2 linked regions of the Oryzias latipes genome follow. The protein of the gene in region 2 purifies or fractionates together with the protein of the main gene of each other region. This does not show direct contact. Links are inferred from orthologs where the notes say so. Each region holds a gene or a part of one and is shown on either strand. Other genes may lie near its edges.

Region 1 (3,820 bases), on a different chromosome or scaffold from region 2:
ATCATGGATGTGCAGCAGACAAATCTGCAGCAACTGAGTGATGCTGTCATGAAAACATGGACCAAAGTCTATGAGGAATGTTTCCAGAACCTTGTTGGATCTAAATACAATGGTAATGGAGAACCAACCAGACATTGTAGTGGTGGATAAAGAACAGAGGAAAGCCGTTGGGGTGGATGTGGCAGTATATAGTGATGGTAACACCAGGAAGAAGGAACATGAGAAACTGGAGAAACACCACAGACTCAGGAAGGAACTGGAGAAGCATGGAAGATGAAGGTGACAGTGGTGCCTGTGGTAATTGGAGCACTCGGGTCTTCTCGTGATCAATAAAGGTGAATTAAAGTAGAGAAGTAAAAGCCCCACCTCTATGATCACATCAAAACCGCTCTTGTTTTTCTTAGTCCAATCTCTCATAGCAGTTATAAATAAGATGTTTGACTTTTAAATAGTTTGATTTACTCACCAGACTGAGAAATCATGGAAGTGTACACCTTGGGGTCAATGGTTCCCATGGGTGGTGGCAGTAATGGGTTGGTGAAGCTCCGTAGTGGATGGGTGGGCCGAACACAAGCTGTCGGAATGGTACGGCTGCCTCCGGCCTGTGCCTCCTCAGCAACAACAGCAGTAGAAGGGGCCCCTGGGACGGGGCCAACAGGAGGAACAAGCTCCCCTGGTGGAGCTGAGGAACCAGGGAGCAGGGGGGTGGGCTGTTGAGATGCAGGCTGTTGCTGGAGGAGAGTGTTGCTGGGGGCATCTGAGGACAGGGCTAGAAATGAGAGAAGTGGAATCAGAGGCAAGGATGGATGTTATCTTGCTTTGGGCTGCAGTAAGGACTTGCTACAAGAATACTGAAAATAAGAAAAGATGAACTGAAAATACATTTTTGTGACCACCACTTTACGTCCACTTAGTCCGTATCCACATCATTTAGGTCCCTTATGTTTTTGAGATTAACATTAGGCACGGTAAAAAAATAACCAGTTTATTTTGAGGTAGTGACGTGGATCTTCACTGTTGTGGCACTGTTATGGTGTAGCTCCGATTCAGCGCAGTCTCTGAATACCTGGAAACATAGCCTATTAAATTATTTTGAAAAAGCTCTGCGTAGAGCTAGAACCCAGTACTATTCAACCTTAATATCAGAGAATGGAAATAATCCAAGATTTCTTTTGTCCTAAGAGTTCCTTAAGAAGTCTCCAGCTTGTTCAGAACGCAGCAGCTAGATTGTTAGCAGGAACTAGCAGATGAGATCACATCACTCCTTAATATAGGACGCCCCGTCCTATATTAAGGACCTCATAGTCCCTTAACACCAGATTCCAGTTGGGTCATCCGTGCTCCTGTCCCTGACCGTGTACCTCGTCTCTGGCTCGCCTCTACTACTGCTCCTACACCTGGCTGTGGATCCTGTCTCCGGCTCGTCTTGCGCCCCCAGCCATCCCCCGTCTTCATCTGGATGAAGATCATTTGCTGGACTTTAAATATGTAGTTGTAGAGTTAGATAAGCTAATTCTCTCTAAGAGTTCTGGTAAATCGTCTGTCCGTCCTGGGGGAGGATCCCTCCTTCATGTGGACACCCCTGACGTTTCTTCGTTTTTTCCGGATTCCGTTTTTTTAAGGAGATTTTCCTTACAGCGAAGGAGGGTCTGAGGGCAGGGATGTCCAGTTTAGTTTAGTCTGTTTAGTTAAAGTTTAGTATTATCCTATTGAATTCTATGCATTGATTATCCTTTTTGATTGTATGTTTACCTTACATTACCGGTACGAAGTCCATTGAGACGACTGTTGTGAATTGAGGCTGCACAAATAAAATGGAATGGAATGGAATGGTGCAGAATAGCCTGAATCATGTTCCAGAACAGGTCTTCAGTGTTCATGTGATTACAAAAGCTATTCAGGAAGAGAGGGGAAAGGGATGCTAATGTCTAAAAGCAGCGTTTAAGAAGTATATATCATTTATTTTCCATTATAGCATCGTCCAGGTGAATACTTAATTCTTATTGGCTGCTGGGTGTGCATTAAAAAGTTGCAATCCACAGTGATAACCGCACACCTAAAAAAGTAGTTCCGGTAAGTTCCTGTAAGAGGTGAACTTTCTCTCTGAACTTATGCTTTATTCAACACATCGTGGTCATCAGCATAGATACCACTTCGGTACTGGATCACCTGGCTAAGCGGTGCATTGTCATGTTACCGTGACGACGCACTGCACCACGTAATAGTCCACTTTTGTGAAAAAAGTAATCCAAACCGAAGAAATAACACAAATAAAGTACTAAAAACCGGTTGAATAATTTTTTATTTTGTAAATATGGTATAAGTGGGTTAATGGCCTTTGAACGCACTTTGTGGAAGCCCGCTTCCACAAAGTGCGTTCATTCTGAAAATTCACATTTTGTTCGCCATGAACCCTTATATAATGGACAGTGATAAAGCATGACTAAAGAAGCAGTTCCAGCCACGTAGCTTAAACATTCGTTATCTATCAAGAGCTGGAGGTGAAGGACCCAAAATGCAGGAGAACGGGCTTGAAAAAAACCTTTTAATGAATTGAACCATGACAAATGAGTGACAGAACAGACTAGATGACCTGACAAGGATGAACAGAAACCCAGACACTTAAATAGGCTGAGAATTTCTGATAATGCCCACCTCGTCTGGCATTATCCCTTACTTATATAGATAAGGTCCTTAACCAGCAGCCACAGTAAGACAACAAGCACTTCCAAGTTGCTTTGTCATCACAAATACTGAAGTTGTGTTTGATCAAGGTGGAATCTGATTTATGTTGCAGTGATTAAGTTACTTGAAAAATTGTGACGTGTTTTTTAAGAACATGACAAAGCAATTATTTAAAAAATATATTTAATAGCACCATGAGATAAAATGTCAAAAAAACATGTTTTCCTCTCGTAGAAGTTGGACATTCCAGAATAAACTTTGACTGGAATCCTCTTCACCAAATTCTACAGAAAGTCAGTGTTTTCTTTCTGTGGTCAATGTTCACTCTCAGTGACGTCCCAGCAACATTAAGTAAGGAGCAGTCAAGCCCACAACAGAGAACTCTCACCGTTAAGTGGCACACAGCATAGTTCCTTTTCCGCTGGAAGTGTGACGAGACAAGCGAGTGACAAGAGCATCATGAATGCTAAATTTGTCTGAAGTTTAAAACTACAAGACTCCCTCTGAAGTCCAAATGACAGCGGCAGCTACTGCATCTGATCATCTGGATAAATGACTGTTTGAAGGGGAGGCACTTGTAAGGACTGCATTGGGTGTTTGCATGCAGGCGGTTCATTGGGGTGTGTCAGTGTAAATATACCCTGTCCTTGTACACTCCTCTCCCTAGTATTTGCCCCCCAACCCCCATCCTCCGTGCCTTGCTGGCAGCAATCAGGCCTTGCAATTTGTTGGTTGACTTTATGACTCTGAACCCTCTTCTTGTCTCTTTGCTCTTGTTAAATCACTGACAAGAGGCAACCAGGAATCAGTCAATCATTGAATTACAGTTTCCAGCCAGGTCATGTAGTATTTATCTCTGAAAAAAAAAACAGCCTTAAAAGCATGACAGCCAGACGGATGAAGAAAACTGTCAAGATTGAGCTGAGCTCTTAAATGTACTCCGACACTGTTCAGTGAAGTACTATGTGTTTAGTCTACAGAAAGTTAAATCATTTAGCTAAATCATTTATGCTTTGTGGTTGATGTTTTTAACTAATTGTGTGCTGTAGTTTAGAACAATGACAGCACAAAAGATCAGCATTATAATAAGGCAATCGAGCATCCATTTTTCCTGAAAATCAGCCTCAGTTGTTTG
Region 2 (4,565 bases):
TGAACTCCTCTCTGAGAAAACAACCTTTTCTTGACCTTTTGACATCTAATCCAGAACTGCTAAAGAAGGAACTTCCTTTCCCAATCATTTGGAGAAGAATTTCTTTCAGTCTCCAGGGTTTGTTTAAGCATGTGTCTTGTTTTTTTTTTTTTGCACTTTCATTGATTTGCCTTTTGGCCTCTGCTTATTTGAAAAGGACAAAGGAATCCTTGTGCTTGACAGAACCTCGGACATCAACTTGAATGCCACTCATTTGGCAAATTGTCTACATAATAAATTGTTCCCTTTCTATCGTACCTGGTCTATTTCTATCCAGCTCCCAGCTGATCTGATCTTGTTGTGGCGGACCTGCATATAGCAAAAAGTAATCAAGCAACGTGTGAGCATGTTCCATGTCAAAGTCTTGAAGGCATGGCAATGGAGTGGAGCAGGAACTTTTGGACTACCGATTGTAGCACCTACATCCCTGCTGCCAGCTTTTTCCTACAGCATTTCTTTTTCCTCTGCTACTGATTCATACCAAGCTGAATAAAGAACTACTCAGTAATGCAATTCTAAGCTTAATTTTATTTCTATATGTCCTCCGTGATGAGAAAAATGCCACGACGACATGTTAAAAACGCCAAAAACACAAAGTAAAAACAGGAGACGCCTCACCTCTGTCCCATGTGAGAGTATGACGACCACACAGCAGTCGTAAATGGAATGATCCTTCCTGGACAAAGCTGACAGCTCAGATTTGATTTGCTGAAAGAAAGACACAAGTGAGCATCTTTACCTTTCAGAACGTTTCAGACCCAGAAGAAGCAGAAAGGACTCTCACCCTTTGTTTCAGATTTGTCCGGACTTCCACCACGAAGTTAAGCGACTTGAATCGTTTCTCTAGCTTGTCACAGTCCACGTTGGATCCTTTGCGAATGCTGAGCTCAGTTTTTGGCTCAAATTCCACGTTGTTTATGATAAGACAAAGACCGCATGGCCTGGCATCCATCTTATAGTACTGACACACAAGCACACCATATGTTATTTAGATCAATTATGCTGGAAACACAGCTGCATGTGGATGATGAAGGCTGCTCACCTGGATGCTGTCCCGTCGTGGTCGGACCTCTGGCCCCTTGAACACCTCGTCAGGTGCTGTAACAACAAAAGATAAGATAAGATAAGATATTCTTTATTGATCCCACATTGGGGAAATTCAATTGTATGAAATTGTATAAAATCTGGTAAACAAACAAACAAAAGGATCCAACATGGTTCCACATAGAACTTAAAGTCCCCCTCCGATGAAAATCACGTTTTTTGAGTTTTTAAATGTACATGTGTTTTTTTCTTATGAAACAGAGCAAATGTATTTAAATCATTTCATTTTAGCATTTCTGAGTATTTCTCCTTTTAAGTCGTTGTCAATCAAACTGTCGGAGAGACGCTCGGTTTGAATAATGAGCCGTTGTGATGTCATAATAGCCAAGGAGCGCATAGGCATTGCGTAAGCTCCCTGATCTGCCCCGTCCAGCGTGCACAAGCTCAGGTGCGGCAGAAGAGGAGATGGCACATTGCTGCTTGTACGGCGTGAATCATGTTCGGTGTGAACGCAGCTTAGCCGTAACTTGTAATCCTAAACTTAAGCCTTCCTCTGGATCCGTGTAGCAGAGCAAATAATAATGATACATTTTTTATTATTATTTTATTAAACTGGTACACACGTTCGTGTTGTCATTGTTCCGAAAGCGCGATTTGGAATCAAAAATGTCACTTTTCACTTTATCGCTAAAGAGAAACTTGTGAGAAGAGAGACTGTCAATCAGTATCATTGATCCCAAGTGTGTCAAGCTTGTCCCTCTTGCAGGACACAGTTATCATCATCAAAAAGGCGGGATCAAGGGCGGGGCTACCGCTCAGCACCACTAGCCACGCCCATGAAGAGGAGATTTTGGAGACAGAGGTTTAGAATGAACATGAAATATGGCGTTTAAAGATATTTAGGTTGTGGGATTGTGGGAACACTACTGGGAACGTTTTTATGAAAATAAATAAAATACATGAAAATGTTATGGGGGACTTTAACACCCCCACCCCTCCTCTCTCTCTTACGTGGACTAGGTTGGGTCCTGGGCTTCTTTGGAACAGCATCTTCAATGTCTACAGTACAAAAGACAAATAAATATTATTTCTATCAAATAAGTGATCAAACTGGACTTTGGCAGAGCAGACTTACAAACTGGATGAGGCTGGATTAGAAGGTATCCCGCCTCCGTGGATTTCCCAGGCTGGAAATGGACTCTTGGAGCTGATTTCTGGAGTAGCTCCAGCAGATTCTGCTGACCCGTGACCCGAAGGCCCTCCAGAAAAGCCGAAAACGCCTCATTCCCGCGGGTCTCTAAGTCCTTAACCAATTTTCGGGCCTGGTCCCGTTTGGTCTCACAGTTCTGTCGGCCAGGACACATTTTTTTAAATTGTTTGTTTTTTCAACAACAACAACACTAAACAAGAGACACTAACATTAGTGGTAGAAACCTACCTTTATGTCGTTTATCATGCTTTGGGTGAACACGTCTTTTCTAAGGAGAACATCACAGAGGTCCGACAGGTCCAACTCCTTTACCAGATGAACTCGGTTTCGGCGAAGGATCCTTTTGTGTTTTTCTTCCATTTCCTTCCACACGAACGCCTTACTACCAATACAGAATCAAAAACAAATTCCGAAAATGTTTTAATATTCAACCCAGAGGCGCGTTTTTAAGGATATAAATTCGTTAAAAAGAAAGCTTCTTCGCATCTAGCTTGTTTTCGATATATTTATGCCTATGGTTGGTTTTCCCCCGAAGTTCCATCAGCCACTTCCTTGTTTACATCATCACCGCCTGTGATAGGCTAGCTCATGGGTACGTTTGATTTCAGTACCGGTGTGTCTCTGTGACTGTAGGGGGAGAGCGGTGCACAAATCCAATCTATTCCCGGCTCGATAAAACGTCAAGTTGTAACACAGAGGTGTTTAAGATGTCACAGAACGCTATTGCATTTACTATTTTTAGCTCTATGCTCTTTTTTTCCTAGAGCGGTTTGCCCCGGAATATTGGTGATTTGTGGCCGAACATACCCCGTGTGTGTATCTCTGGATAGCCAGCATCGTGGAGCTTGAGAGGACCAAAACCACCCTAATGTGGCGTAGAACCGGCGGACTACCTTTGTTTTTGGAGAACATAAACAACTGGAGCAGACGCAGTCCTTAAAATGCGTTTTATTCTGGAGGAAAGGCAACATAGCCACAGGCGGCATTGCCAGTGTTTTTGTGGTTAGCATGTTATTATGGATGCTTCCGCTCTGGCATCATTTGAGTGGAACAGCTGTGCAGATGTGGAGGCAATCCAAAATCCGTGTCACGATGTAGAGGCGTTTTCTGGTGCGAACTGATCCGCTGTCGTGAGGGGGACCGATGGGGGGGTCAAAGATGACCCTGGCTGTGGCCGTGGTCCTGGCGGTGCTGCTGACGCCACCAGCTCGCGCTGCATCTGAGATGGACCCCTACAAAATATTAGGTGTGACCAGGAGTGCAAACTCAGCTGAGATCAAAAAGGTCTACAAGCGACTTGCAAGAGAATGGTAAATATATTTTTGATGGGACAACTAACCAGTTTGACATGTTCAGTTCAAATGAGCCTCTGTTTCTTCAGGCATCCTGACAAAAATAAAGATCCAGGCGCTGAGGATATGTTCATCAAGATCACCAAATCCTATGAGGTTAGTTCTGGTTCAGGTGGGTTTGACCATTTGTAGCAGTCATGCCTGAAATGTGTGCATCATCTCCAATCCAGATCCTGTCCAGTGAAGATAAACGGGCCAACTATGACCGTTATGGGCAGACTGATGACACCCAACCGTATGGCAGCGGTCATTATGGCCATCGCCATGACAACTTCTACTTTGATGAGTCCTTCTTTAACTTCCCGTTCAACAACAAGAACCAAAGAGACTTTGGCGACAACAAGTACACCCTTCACTTCAACCACTACATCAACGACGTGGTTCCTGACAGCTACAAGAGGCCCTACCTGATAAAGATCACCTCCGATTGGTGCTTCACCTGCATCCACATCGAGCCTGTGTGGAAAGAGGTGGTGCAGGAGATGGAGAGTCTAGGTTAGAGATGAGGTCTCCTGTCATGCATGAACTCATATGGGTTTAGATCATCCGTGGATGCCTTGTCTTTGCAGGTGTTGGGATCGGCGTGGTGGATGTAGGCTATGAAAGACGGTTAGCCAATCACCTCGGTGCTCACCGCACCCCATCCATACTTGGAGTCCTCAATGGCAAAGTGACATTTTTCCATTATGCTGTCGCAAAGGAACACTTGAAGCAGTTTGTAGAAGACCTTCTTCCTCAGAGGCTGGTGGAGCAGGTACATACGTGTATGTGGGGAGGGACAAACATGTTTTACACAGATCTAAAGACTTACAGAACAGCATAGAGCTTTAGATGATTTGCGGGTTTAATATTCTGTCCCAGAATTATAAAAGTAATTTTTCTTTGTTACTGCACCTTTGAACAAAAATGTTGCCCCCACC

Evidence for each region.
Region 1: the proteins of casp9 (region 2) and dcc purify together in Homo sapiens (co-immunoprecipitation; 3 studies listed by BioGRID and IntAct, with this or other methods). This does not show direct contact. The link is inferred for Oryzias latipes from reciprocal best matches to the Homo sapiens genes CASP9 and DCC.

Annotation. Positions count from the first base shown.
Region 1 is NC_019870.2:29,534,273-29,538,092, forward strand, and holds part of dcc (netrin receptor DCC), read right to left. Parts: intron 770-3,820; coding exon 467-769; intron 1-466. UniProt on the Homo sapiens protein: Receptor for netrin required for axon guidance. Mediates axon attraction of neuronal growth cones in the developing nervous system upon ligand binding. Its association with UNC5 proteins may trigger signaling for axon repulsion.
Region 2 is NC_019865.2:5,965,143-5,969,707, forward strand, and holds the start of casp9 (caspase-9), read right to left. Parts: upstream 2,877-4,565; 5' UTR 2,654-2,876; coding exon 2,522-2,653; intron 2,430-2,521; coding exon 2,219-2,429; intron 2,143-2,218; coding exon 2,095-2,142; intron 1,138-2,094; coding exon 1,082-1,137; intron 1,001-1,081; coding exon 824-1,000; intron 748-823; coding exon 658-747; intron 349-657; coding exon 298-348; intron 1-297. Other genes in the region: dnajc16 (dnaJ homolog subfamily C member 16), read left to right, coding at 3,437-3,603, 3,675-3,741, 3,816-4,140, 4,215-4,399. UniProt on the Homo sapiens protein: Involved in the activation cascade of caspases responsible for apoptosis execution. Binding of caspase-9 to Apaf-1 leads to activation of the protease which then cleaves and activates effector caspases caspase-3 (CASP3) or caspase-7 (CASP7).